4 separate regions of the Mus musculus genome follow, and all the other regions are reported to be linked to region 2. Evidence: microRNA targets listed by miRTarBase, many of them from high-throughput screens and not tested one by one. Region 2 holds a microRNA gene; each other region holds the end of a gene's coding sequence.

Evidence for each region. The annotated mature microRNA mmu-miR-340-5p reads UUAUAAAGCAAUGAGACUGAUU and lies in region 2 at 1,377-1,398, shown strand. An mRNA with a match to its seed (bases 2 to 7 or 8) in the 3' UTR can be bound and repressed. Matches are read on the target gene's strand: a 7mer-m8 pairs with bases 2 to 8, a 7mer-A1 pairs with bases 2 to 7 and ends in A, and an 8mer does both.
Region 1: miRTarBase lists Ephb4 as a target of mmu-miR-340-5p. Seed matches in the 3' UTR shown: 7mer-A1 at 1,262-1,268.
Region 3: miRTarBase lists Cxadr as a target of mmu-miR-340-5p. Seed matches in the 3' UTR shown: 7mer-A1 at 2,493-2,499, 7mer-m8 at 1,103-1,109, 7mer-A1 at 559-565 and 7mer-A1 at 517-523.
Region 4: the mRNA of Akt3 is a reported target of mmu-miR-340-5p. Seed matches in the 3' UTR shown: 7mer-m8 at 1,071-1,077.

The regions. Positions count from the first base shown.
Region 1 is chr5:137,373,227-137,376,315 of GRCm38, forward strand. It overlaps Ephb4 (Eph receptor B4), which reads left to right. Exons shown (of 17, transcript NM_010144.6): 17 at 286-1,296. The coding sequence ends at 415. Among named protein-coding and RNA genes, the nearest start is that of Ephb4, 25 kb to the left of the region's middle.
Region 2 is chr11:50,068,344-50,071,343 of GRCm38, forward strand. Mir340 (microRNA 340) reads left to right here and starts at 1,359; the gene lies at 1,359-1,456. Rnf130 (ring finger protein 130) reads left to right here. Exons shown (of 9, transcript NM_021540.4): 3 at 2,828-3,000.
Region 3 is chr16:78,336,076-78,339,181 of GRCm38, reverse strand. It overlaps Cxadr (coxsackie virus and adenovirus receptor), which reads right to left. Exons shown (of 7, transcript NM_001025192.3): 7 at 1-2,994. The coding sequence ends at 2,730. Among named protein-coding and RNA genes, the nearest start is that of Cxadr, 36 kb to the right of the region's middle.
Region 4 is chr1:177,022,545-177,025,650 of GRCm38, reverse strand. Akt3 (thymoma viral proto-oncogene 3) reads left to right here. Exons shown (of 13, transcript NM_011785.4): 13 at 202-3,106. The coding sequence ends at 287. Among named protein-coding and RNA genes, the nearest start is that of Gm15423, 83 kb to the right of the region's middle.

The DNA.
Region 1 (3,089 bases), not on the chromosome of region 2:
CTGGCCAGGCAGGTCTCCTGGTCCCTCCTCAGTATCTTCACTGAGCCAAAGTGCTCCCTAATTTAAGGCCTAGTTCTTTACCTGTGTGGTCCCTGTCTGTATTTCTTTCTCCTCCAAGGCAACCTCTGCAGCTTCTTCCCCCTAAAATCTCTCTGAGGACTCTCTCTTTCCTTCTTCTACGGAGGCCGCTCAGTAAATGTTTGGTGATTACTCTTGCCTTTCTCCTCCTGTGGCCTCCCTGCTTGGCTGGTCCCGGGACTCCTCCAACCTTCTGTTTTTCCACAGGGACCTTCTCCGAATTGGAGTCACTCTGGCAGGACACCAGAAGAAAATCTTGGCCAGTGTGCAGCATATGAAGTCCCAAGCTAAGCCAGGAGCCCCTGGTGGGACAGGGGGACCAGCCCAGCAGTTCTGACCTCCAAGGACTCACCACCGTGGCAGATTCTTCTTTCCGGGGGGCAGAGTTGGGTGGGGACTCACAAGATGAGCCCCTCCCCCTCGTCACAGCCTTCCCATTGGATTGCACTTTGAACAGAGGGGGTCAGAGACCCAGGATTTGGGGAACCGTGCCATATGGGATCATACATGTGCCCTCCAGGCGGGGAACCCCAAACTCAGAGTGAGTCTTTCCCTCAAGACTGGGCAAAGAAACATCCCTACGTCTCTAACCTCCCATCTTCCCAGAGGGCTCTCTCCCCAAGCGCCTTCCACCTCAACGGGCATGTCCCTGCAGACCAAAGAGAAAGGGTGACCAGCCTGCCAACTTGGGAGTGGAAAATGCCGTCCCAGGAGGCAGGAAGGGGCTGTCAGGACCCGGTGATGTAATCATTGGGTTTTGATGTCCTGACTTGCTGTCACCACCAAAGGCAATCATTTTTCCCTTGTAAATGCCCCTCCCCTCATCTGCCTTCATATTGAAGGTTCTGAAGTTTTACTGTTTTTTATTTTGTTAATTTTTTCCTCCTTCCCCCCTCCCTCCCCTTCTTGTCCAGATTTTGTGTGTTAAAGGGCACCTGGTTCCACTATCTCCTGTTGGGAACAAGGACCCATCGATATGTTCTAGAACAGTGCCTTGGAAATGCCACAGCCTTAGACAGTTCCTTCTTCCTTTCCTCCCCCCAAGTGCCCCCAAGCTGTGTTGTGTGGAGGGAAGGGGGGTGATGTTGTAAAAGGGACAGGAGGTTGGTGGTGGTCAACAGAGGCAGACAACGGTGCTTGGAAGGGGGTTCTTAAATTATATTTAAAAAGAAACTTTTTTTTTTTTATAAATAAAAAAAAAAGGGGGATATGTCTCAGTCCAGAGGGTGACTGGGAGCTGGGGTTGACCAGATTTCTGAGACTAGGGGACCCCTAGGAGTGTGGATTTGGAGGGTCAGGTCAGGTGGTTGGGATTATGGTGTGAGGAGGGGCTGGGTGTTGGTTCTCAGCCCCAAGGTGTTTTGTTTGGGTTGGTGGGAGGTGAGTCACTGGCAGCTGGTGCTAACTGCTCCAGCTGCCCCTGCCAAGAGCCTCCGGCACCTCCGGGGTGGGGCAGACACCTTCTGCCCCTCCTCTGTCTCCTTAGCTCTGGCAGGGGGTTGTATAAGAGAAGCCAAGCGTGTAGCCCATAGTCCTGCCCTAGAACTGCTTTAAAAGGATAAGGGGGCACGGGTGACTGTGGGTGGGGGGTCCCAGTTAGGTGCCCACAAACTTAGGCTGGATGTCCATAGCTGGGGTTGGTTTGGTGGTAATGGGAGAGCCAGCATTGGCTGTGAGGGGAGGGGAAGATGGGGAGTGGCTGAAAGGGGGCCCTCACATCTGTGTACTTATGCCAGGTAGCTCTCAGGACAATTCCCCCATTCAAGATGCTGCCCAGGCAGGTTTTCCTGGCCTCCTGGGAAGGGGAGGGGGAGCCGCTCCAATGAGTCTGCTGCTAACTTCTCCCAGACAAGGAAAAGGAGGATAGGGTCCATACTCCATTCCAGCCTCTCCACTTCCCCCACTGTTTTCTCGGCCCCCTCTCTGCTCCTGGGTATGCCTTCCCATTGGGACACCTGTAAGGGCCAGTTAGTGCAGGCTAGCCTGATTGAGCTGCAGTGGATGTGAGGGGTGCAGAACCTCACACACTGGCCCCAAGGCAGTGTTGCTATCATTTCCCCTGCACGAATGTGTGTGTGTGCGCACGCGAATGTGCATGCTCATGCATGAACATTAAGTGAGAAAGACTGATTCTCTGCAGGTCCTCTCATTCCCCTAAAACTGGCCATGTGGGCTAGCCTGGTCAGCCACATGGCCTAGGAATTGTTTCTTCCCTCCACAGTTCTAGAAGGGTAAGCCCATACTACCATTCCCACCGGCCCCTCCTCTGCTGCAAACAGCGGAGCTTCGAGCTTGCTTGCTGACTGAACTAGCTGCCAGAACCCATACCCCTTCTTGTATTTTGTAAACCAGGGCTTGCTAATAACCCAGGCCAGCCTTGGTACTCACTATCCTCCTGCCTCAGCCTCTGGAATTCTGGGATTATGGCATGAATCACACTAAGTCCTTTGTCTCCTCTCCCTGGGTGACATTTAATATCTCTGGAGGGTGGGAGGGGCTCATTACTACCAGGAAGGGGAGTGTCCCAGGGGACACTAATCCAGCCAACTGCCTTTCGCTGCCAAACAGACATCCTGGCTAGATACAGTGACCTCCACAGAGAGCTGCTACGGGAAAGAAAGATGAAGGTCACAGCATCCAAGCAGTACAAAGATGGAGGCCAGGGGGAGAAATGGGGCTCTAGGCAGGAGGTTAACCTGCTGAGGGGCACTGTGCCTTCTGTCCTAGTGAGGGAAACCAGGGTCCTGCAGAGCATGTCCCACCCCTGTCCTGGGCCCTTTCCATAATATTGAGTTTGGCTGACTTCAGGAAAGGTCTCCAAAGGTATAGTTGTCACACAGATTAATAATATCTCCCTGGCCTGTGTCCTCCCTGCCTCAAAGCACTCTGGCCAAGTCTTGGTTTCTTGAGGTCTTCACAGTCTGATCCATTATACACCTTGGCCTCCTTTGGCTGAACCAGGTGGTCACTTCTACCTGGTTGTCAGAATGGCTCCTAAAGCCAGTAACTCC
Region 2 (3,000 bases):
GAAAGTTTAAAGATTCCCAAAATTTACTGCTGTTCTCTCAGCTTAGTGCTTATGGTTCAAGATGTGAGACTGGAGAGATGACTCAGAGGTTTCCAGGGCATTCTTCTGCTCATGGAGAGAACCTGAGTTCAATTCCCAGCACCCACAACAGGTCTCTCACAACTGCCCGTATCCCCCCTTCCAGGGGGTCTGTGACTCCTGGTCTCCACAGGCAACTATAACTTGCATGCACAAAGCTACACACATAAACACATAATTGAAATTAACAGTGTTTTTAAAAAGGTGTGAGTTCTTGGCATCCAGTTCCTACCTACAGTTTGCTGCCATTCTTCCCCACCATGATGGAACTATAAGCCAAACAAGCCCCTCCTTGTATACGTTATGTTGGCTATGATGTTTAACCACAGCAGTAGAAAAGGAACACATAGCTGCATGATTGTTGAACTCCAAAGCCATGTCTTGGTGTTTCAGAACACAGGCATAGGGGTGATCTGGTCACATTCTTTGTATCTGTTTAATGTTTCCATTACTTCAGTCTAATTAACCCCTCTCTCCTACCAGCTACTGCTACTCTAATCCTAGTTTTATCCTGAGGGTTAAGTTTCCTCTGTTGTCATCATCCCTCCTGAATCTGCACCAACTCTCCCAAGAGTTTTTTGTTTTGTTTTTAAGGTTTATTTACTTTTTTATTGTGTGTGTGTGTGTGTGTGTGTGTGTGTGTATACCTGCATGAGTCTATGTGCACCATGTGTACAGAGCCCTCGAAGGCCAGAAGAGAGTGTCTGTTCCCTCTAGAATTGGAGTTACAGTAGTTATGAGCTGCCATATTGATGCTGGGAACCAAACCTCGTCCTCTGCAAGATCAACCAGTGCTCTTAGCCATCTCTTTAGTCCCATCCCCATTTGTAAATGTCTGAGCCATCTTGTTAGGCTCTTTGAACCCAGCCCAGCTCTAGATGTTGGGGAGAAAGAAACTTTTTTCCTAGGAGGGTTTGTAGTTTGCTTCATCACCTTCTGTAAGAGATCACTGCCTTCACTAATATCAGATGTGCTGCTGTACTTTTTTATTTGATCATTTTCAGTCTCCTTTGGCAACATTGCCCAGTCTCCTCTTTTTGCTAGGATGATAAAGCTACAGTGAGATCTATTCACTCTTGTCCTCCTAACAGTGAATATTGACAAGTGTTGAACTAATTAAATTTTTCTTTCCCAAACAGCTTCCTGTTGAGATTAGTTGACGCGCCCATTTAGTGTTCGGTTAAGGAAATTACTGGATTGGTTGCCTTGGCTACCTGTGCAGCTCTCCCCACTTCCAGCTTGAGTCTTCAAGAGGGAGCCTCAGAACTGATTTCTAAAACCAATTGTACTTGGTGTGATTATAAAGCAATGAGACTGATTGTCATATGTCGTTTGTGGGATCCGTCTCAGTTACTTTATAGCCATACCTGGTATCTTAACACCACAGATCATGCCTGTTGATCAACATTGTAAAAGCACAAACTTAAGGTTTCTAAATGGAAATTTAAACTGGTTTAGCATTCTTTTATGATTCTTTTTAACTCACTCACCAGAGGCAGATGTTAACTTAATAATGCTAGTTTTAATTTTGTTGTCTCCTTTTTGTTTATAGATTTTTTAAGCAAAAATAAACTGGTAAACTACTACTCTAATAAAGTGAATAAACCGTTTTGAATACAGTATTATGCAAATATATATTCCATTGAGCTATATTTTTTTCAAAACTTCTGTTACTGAGTTTCTGTTGTGTCTCATCTTGACTGCTAAAGGTAACAAGAAATCAAAACAAGTGTTTCTAATATTTGTTGACAGAGCCTTCAAAAGGTCAGGTCTGGGGTCTCTGCTTGCTGTTTTGAGAGGGTATTTTGTGTTTGGATGCACAATCCTCCTTCATACTCACAAAAGTGACCTTGGTGAGTAGCTGCTCACTCTGACTTAAAACAGGCCCTTGAAGCCATGTGAGAAAAGGACTTGAAAACACAACTGAACCATCCTTGTAATTAACTTATAAAAGTTGTGCCTGTGGGCAGAACTCTGAACAGCTTTTAGGAACTGAAGGTTTTAGGTATCATTATGGGTAGTAGTCCAGAAAGTTGAAACTTGGGCCTGCCTAGAGGATTTGAGTGCGCTGGGCATGGTTAAACAAGGTGGAAAACTAACATAAAACTCAAGTCTGAGGCTAGCCGAGGCAATGTGAGATGCTGGCTCCAAACTGGGTGGGAAAATTGTTGCGTTTGAGCTCCAGAAGTGCCCTGGAAGGAGCTTTACTGTAGACAGAAGACCAAAGTTAGTTTCAAAGGTTGTTGGTAAAAGATGTTGCCGTTCGGCACTTGTCACTCCATAGCCAAGTGTGTGCCCTAAGAAGTACCCTTCTTTCTGTTTCTTAGAGCAGTCCTTGCTCAGCAGTGCGTGTGAGGATGAGTAGTGCAAGGACCACCTGTTCAGACTGTAAATGACAGTGCTTCTCTGTCAGAACTTTCCAGATTGATTGCTATAGAAAGGTTTTCTACTGAAGACTTAACCTGATTTAGTCACAGGTGGCTGCTTTCACAGTGCTTCTAATGCACCGGTAAGGCAGTTTGTGCATTGTTAACACCACAGTTGCTTTATGCGTTACCTGTTTGGAGCACTGTACATGTTCTCATGCCTGTCAGTTTACACAGCTGCAGCCTCATGTCAGTTGAACTGGAATCTATAAACCTTAGTGAAAATTATGGTAATTTCTCTATGGAGCATATGTGTATATTTATTTGATGTGTCTATGAATTTCAGATGTCACTTTAGTCTGTGTATTTGTTTTACATTACAGGCACGGGAGATATTATTGCTGTCATGATAACAGAATTGAGGGGTAAGGATATTTTGAGTTATCTGGAGAAAAACATCTCTGTACAAATGACAATAGCTGTTGGAACTCGAATGCCGCCAAAGAACTTCAGCCGTGGCTCTCTAGTCTTCGTGTCAATCTCCTTTATTGTTTTG
Region 3 (3,106 bases), not on the chromosome of region 2:
AATCAGAAAGGTCTGCTGGGAAGACAGTGCTGGCCCTGAACTCACACTGGCTCTACGTTAAGATGCGCCAGCACGGCCGATGAGCTGTTGACCATTACCAACATTGATTCTAGAGCAAGTACTTGCTCCTTGGTTGACTAAAATCAGTGAGGTTGTCTGGGAAATTGCTAGTACTTGTCTGACCTTTGGGGGAAACTGAGGCTAACAATGAGAAGCGCTGCAGGCCAAAGCCTAAAAAATCAACTATGTCTCTGATTCTTGATCCTCCAGGCCTGTTGGGGTTCACAGTGTTTGTTTTTTTTTTAAACAAGTTTCTCTTTCAGATTATAGTTGCTACAGATCTAGACTAAAAATAGCGGGATACTCTAGGTTTTGTTTGCCTTTAAATAAATACAAAGTCTAGGAAAAGGAAAAGATTCCACACATCTGCTTTTGTAGTGTTTTCTACCTAGCATAATCTTCATTACCATTCTCGAAACCATTACAAGCTGCATTCCAGTTTATTCTTGTAATATCTTATAAAAATGCCAAACATCTGAAAGTCAAACATGGCTATGGTTATAAACTAGAAGCACGGTCAAAGCGTACTGAGGGTGTGACTTTCTTTTAAATCCTAATAAACAGTGGTATTATTTAAGTGACATCAAGAAAAGCAGAGGAGAGAAGGCGAGAGGGGGACTCTAAGGGTAGAAAGCCACAGTGATGTGCTTTTGAAAACAGTACCTTCACCTCTAAGCACCTTCAAGGTAGGTGATAGCTAGCTCATAGGCACCAGAAAGTCATTGTAGAAATTAAATTTACCTAAAAAGGCACAGATGAAGACAACACAAATATAAAAAGTGATTTTACGTGAGGTTTAAACCTAGTTTAAAAAAAATGCTTCCAAATATGTAAAACTGTACACGAATCCATTACATGGACATTCAGTTTAAATTCACCATTTAAAAGTATACACATTATTCTGCTTAGTCGTAAATGCATGCCAACATTAATTTATAATGTAGCATTTACCAGCACAGCACCTGAAGAGATTAGCAGGGACCAATTCCCTAGGGGAAAGGTTTTGCAGTTAATGAAATCTTTTATTACAGACCTTATCTACTATAAAGGAAATGCTGGCTCAATACACGCTACACACACTCCCTCACAATCTTAAGGGATATACAATAAATTCACTTTTTTTTTCCTACGAAAACTATATTTAATACATTTGGCAGGTAGGAGTATTCCCTTTACTCCTTTTAAAATTTCTTTTAAGAGTAAGTCACTTTCACAAAACTAAGACTCAGACTTGATTTCTGACAGCTAGAGAGAGGCAGGTGCGGCCACGGGCCAGCAAGCACATTGCTCAAGTCTGGAATTCAGGACCAGGGAAGACACTTAACTTGCCTCAAATCTCTTTGTTCACTGACTCTTAGAGGAAAAAAATAGCCTCCAGGAACCGTACTACAACTCAAAAGCCTAGATTACAACATAAAATGTGCAGTACGGTCTGCCACAAAACAAAAACACACATTTAAAAATCAGTAATTTGAGAATTCTCATCCAGATAAGTGAATTAACAGTTTTCTTTCCTTTCTTCCTTCCTTTCGTTCCTTCTGTCCCTCTCTCCCTTCCCTCCCTCTGTTCCTTCCTTTCCAATTGCAAAACCATCACTTACAGTAGAAGGGCAGTGTTTAGCTACAGACCCATAAATCTGCCACCCTCACCCTGCCTGCTCAGGATTGCAGCAGTCCACAGGCCCCGAGCGAGGCACAGACACTGTCCTCATCGATCCTCCCCCTACCCCGACCCATGCAGCATCAAGGGTTTCAGCTCTGTGTAGCGGACGCTTCTTTTGTAGTGCACTAAAGCTTCCTGCTTCCTGCTACCTCTGTAGTGTACCGGTTAAATGCTTAGGAAACTGTTCTACAGCCATACAGCCTTGAGAGCCCAGCATTCAGGGAGCAGAAGGATCAGGATTTGAGGCCAGCCTAGGCAACGAACACACTGAGGCCCTATCTCCAAACAGCAACAAAAGAAAAAAAGACAGGAAAGAAATCGTGTCATAGATGTTTAGGAATGACTTAGAAAGAAAACTAGTCATTTCTAAAACAGTCATGTCTCCTACTTTTACAGGTAACCAAATACACTTAGAATTCTCAGACTATAAAAACAAATTCATACATTAAGCAGTTTTTCCATGGATTTGTTTTTCAATTTGAGAGATACTGATGTTCATCAATAAATGAGACAGATATCCTGAAAATAATGGTAGAAACTACGAAGTATCATTTTCAGATGATTCAAGAATCAACTTGGGATGTGTGTAAACTCACAAATTTCTTCACCCATGACATCATATTCAAAGTGCTATATCTTTCTTCAGATATAAGATAAGGGCCTTAAAATCAACTTGGTAAGAAACCCCAAATTTTCCAGATGGTCAATGCTATTACTCTTAAGCCTTTATTGTTTCACAATAACCAAAAAAATCTTATGGAGTATGATTCTTATAAACTTCTTCATATATATATATGCATATATAAGTGCGTATATATGCATATATATTATGCATATATACACATGTGTACATATACGTATATGTGTACACATGTGTATATATACACATACACACACATATATATTATATATATGGGCTACTGTTAACAAAATTTAGAATAGAATAAATGTTGATATGTCAAGAGAAGAAACGAGCCACGGACAGCAGAACAGAGAGGTGCGGAGTTCTATACTATAGACCCGTCCTTGCTCTGTGCAGGAATCATCACAGGAACCGCTCCCATTCGACTGAGATTAGGGGCAGCTACCTTAGCGGGTGCCAGAGTCGGGCTCTGAGGCGCACGTTCAAAGTCTTCACTGGGGACTTGGTTATACTGCGTCTTGGAATACCCCTCCATGTTAGAGGGGGACATGGATCCCAGGGAGGAATGGTTGCTGCCAATATAGCTCCTGGCAGTGGATGTCCGACTCTTTGGAGGAGGCACATCTTCCCTGGAAAACAAAATCCCCAGCACATGCTAAAGATAACTGAGTTTCTAAAAACTTAAATTATGGATAAATACAAAAGTACAAACGCTGCGGAGGAAGGCGTCACAGCATTAAC
Region 4 (3,106 bases), not on the chromosome of region 2:
TTCCTAAAATATTGAATAATGAAATTTTGATTTCTTAGAGATGGTTTTATAATATTCTTTGTTTGTAGACAGACCATGTGTATATAGAAATCACAGTCCTTTAAACTCAGTTTTACTGAGAAGTTAACGAGATGTACTGTTTCTGAGTGTAGGCAGAGTAACAGTAGAAACAGAAATGACAGCGCTGTTTGCTGCCCACAGATGACGACGACGGCATGGACGGCATGGACAACGAGCGGCGGCCACACTTCCCTCAGTTCTCCTACTCTGCAAGCGGACGGGAATAAGTTCCTTTCAGTCTGTTTCTACACTGTCATCTTAGACTTTGCCTGAGACTGATTCCTGGACATCTCTACCAGTCCTCGCTCTTACAGTTAGCAGGGGCACCTTCTGACATCCCTGACCAGCCAAGGGTCTTCACCCTCACCACCTTTCACTCACATGAAACCATATACACAGACACTCCAGTTTTGTTTTTGCATGAAATTGTATCTCAGTCTAAGGTCTCATGCTGTTGCTGCTACTGTCTTACTATTATAGCAACCTTCAGAAGTAATTTCACAATCTTTGGGAGTCATGAGCCCATTGTTCATTTGTGCATCAAGTGTCATCTTTTGGTTTTTGGTTTTCCCTAGCAGTGAAGGCTAAATGAGATACACTGATTCTAGGTACATTGTTAACTTTCTAGGAGATAAATCAAGAACTAATTAGACTAAGAAGATTTAGTTTATATTTCTGAACAAGCAATTGTTGAAGGGTGGTGGTGTGTGTATGTAAGAGTTTAGCAGTGTATGTCTGACCAGCACATGAAGTGTGTATCACTGACATTTGGCTGGAAAATCTTAGGAAACATTGAGAGGACTGAAGGGCCAATGAGATACACATTTTTTTTTTTTAAATCCTGCTGGCTATTGTGGAGGAAGCCCAGTGCCACCCATGGATGCCCAGGTTTCAAGGGCAAATGGACATTGTTCAACCAAGTACTGACGGTGCAGAGTCCCCTAGAGAGTCTTAGGATCTACTTTGTACCAGAGAGTATTTTCCCCTGGGCTTGGCAACCTTTTTCCCTTCTTTATATTTATCACCTCTGATGGCTGAAGAATGTAGACAGTATAATGATCCTGCTGTCGCCAAAATCTATACACCAAGGTGAACAGGTGTTTGCCTTACCAGTTTTGGAGTTTTTACTTTCAGTTATAGGTAAATTAGCTTTTTCTCAGATGTTAAAACCTTGAATGTCCTTTATGGTTTTGTTTATATTACAGTAGTATTTATTTTTTAGTGGTAAGAATTGTGTTGTCATGTTAGCAAGCGCAGCTCCAATTCACAGATCATTGCCTGCGTTTTCTTTTGACCCATGTGCAAGGAATGTACACACCCATTAGAATCATGCACTTTTTCTCCTATGTTAAAAACAATGGTAAGGCTCTGGGACTGTATCTGTTGGTTAGAATCTGGCTAGAATCTCTGGGAGAAGAGATGCTGTGATTTAACCCCTTGGAGCTGAAATGAGAGCATCCCCAACTACCCAGTGCCAAGGGATGGATGTGAGAGGATAGTCTGGCAGAAAGTAATGGAGAAAGCTGAGACCCAAATGATGATGAGAAATGAACTCTACTCGGCAAAATGAACACATCACAAGTATTCACACAATAGGAAGTAAAGGATAAGAAGCTGATGTGTTTATTCTTATCAAGGTACATTCATTACTGAATCAAGCCATCAGGGAAAACAACAAAACAAAACACCTCTAGCTTTTATTTTTCTGTACATATTCATGTCTCCCAACCCAAACATTTCTCACTGAGAGGGGACATGTATGCAAACCTCATCTTTCTCCTTCATTAATGATGATCTTCAGATTAACCCTTTGGTGCTAGGAGCTGACACTTTCCAAAGCAGACTATGACGTCCAAGGATCAAAGCCTCTCTTGCAGCAAGCAAGAGCAACTGCTGCTCCAAGGCGTGATCATGGAAGTGGAAGACCACAGTGTGACACAGTGGTACTGCATTGTCTTTTTCAGTAGGAAGTCATGTTCTCATGCAAGTGTCTTGGCCTCTAGGCTCAGACTTAGAGAAGCAGAGCCGCTGCTGGCAGTGGCTGGCCGCTGGGACTGCTGGGGTGTAAAGGGCATTTTCCTAAGGCAGCTAAGACAGACTCAGACATAGATTTTTGTCCTAATTTTTCATGTTTCTACCTGGGTGAGTTTACCCTCAGTGGGAAGTAGGAAGTTAAACAGGTGTATTCTTACATCTGCTGTCTTCTGTTTTCCTACATAGAAGTATGTTGAATGTTGCACATTGACAAGGAAGTAGATTAGATGGTAAGTCCTTTTAAGTTACCCTGCATCCATTCTGTAAGAAAGGAGGAGGAGAGGAAGAAAAGCAAGCTGAGCCTGGCCGATGTTCAGAACATTTACTCCCTCAGAGGGAGCAGACACTGTACACTAAGCACACAGCTTCTTTTGTTTTGTCTCTCCTTCCAAGTCTTAAGGTAATTTCATGACCTTGGCCAAGGATACTTTGTGAAGATTAATGAGGGGACATTGACAATGCCTCAGGCTGGCCACTCCTCACACTGGCCCTTGGTCCCCAGCCATTCAAGGGGTTACTCATCCCATCCCTGACTACCTGAGTGTCACTACAGGTGGGTTCTTGGCTTTGAGTTCAAGAATTCTTTCCTTACACCCTCCACCAGATGTCAGTGGAAAGGCAGAAGTAGAACCGAGGTGTGGGAGGAGATTCTAAAAGCTTGTGTTGCCCAGGCCTCTAGCTTAGGGTTCTGGCAATTGAGACGGCCTGAAACCTGACAGCATCATGTCCGGGCAGCTCTGGCTTTGTGAGTCCAGCTCCTACCAACTCCACCTTGACCTCTTGTCTCCATGCAGGGCTGTCTGGGAGGAAACTGGCCACTTCTGCTCAGACTGCTGCCAGCGCTCTCACAGCTTTGCTCTCTACACTAATGACATAGATTATTCCAGTATTGTTCCCATTTCCCACCTGACCTCCAGCTTCTCGGAGCTGACTTCTTGCAGGGGCCACATGCTTCTTTCCCTCACTAACTGCAGGGTCTCCACCACACCTCAGTGTACACACTTTGCTGCTA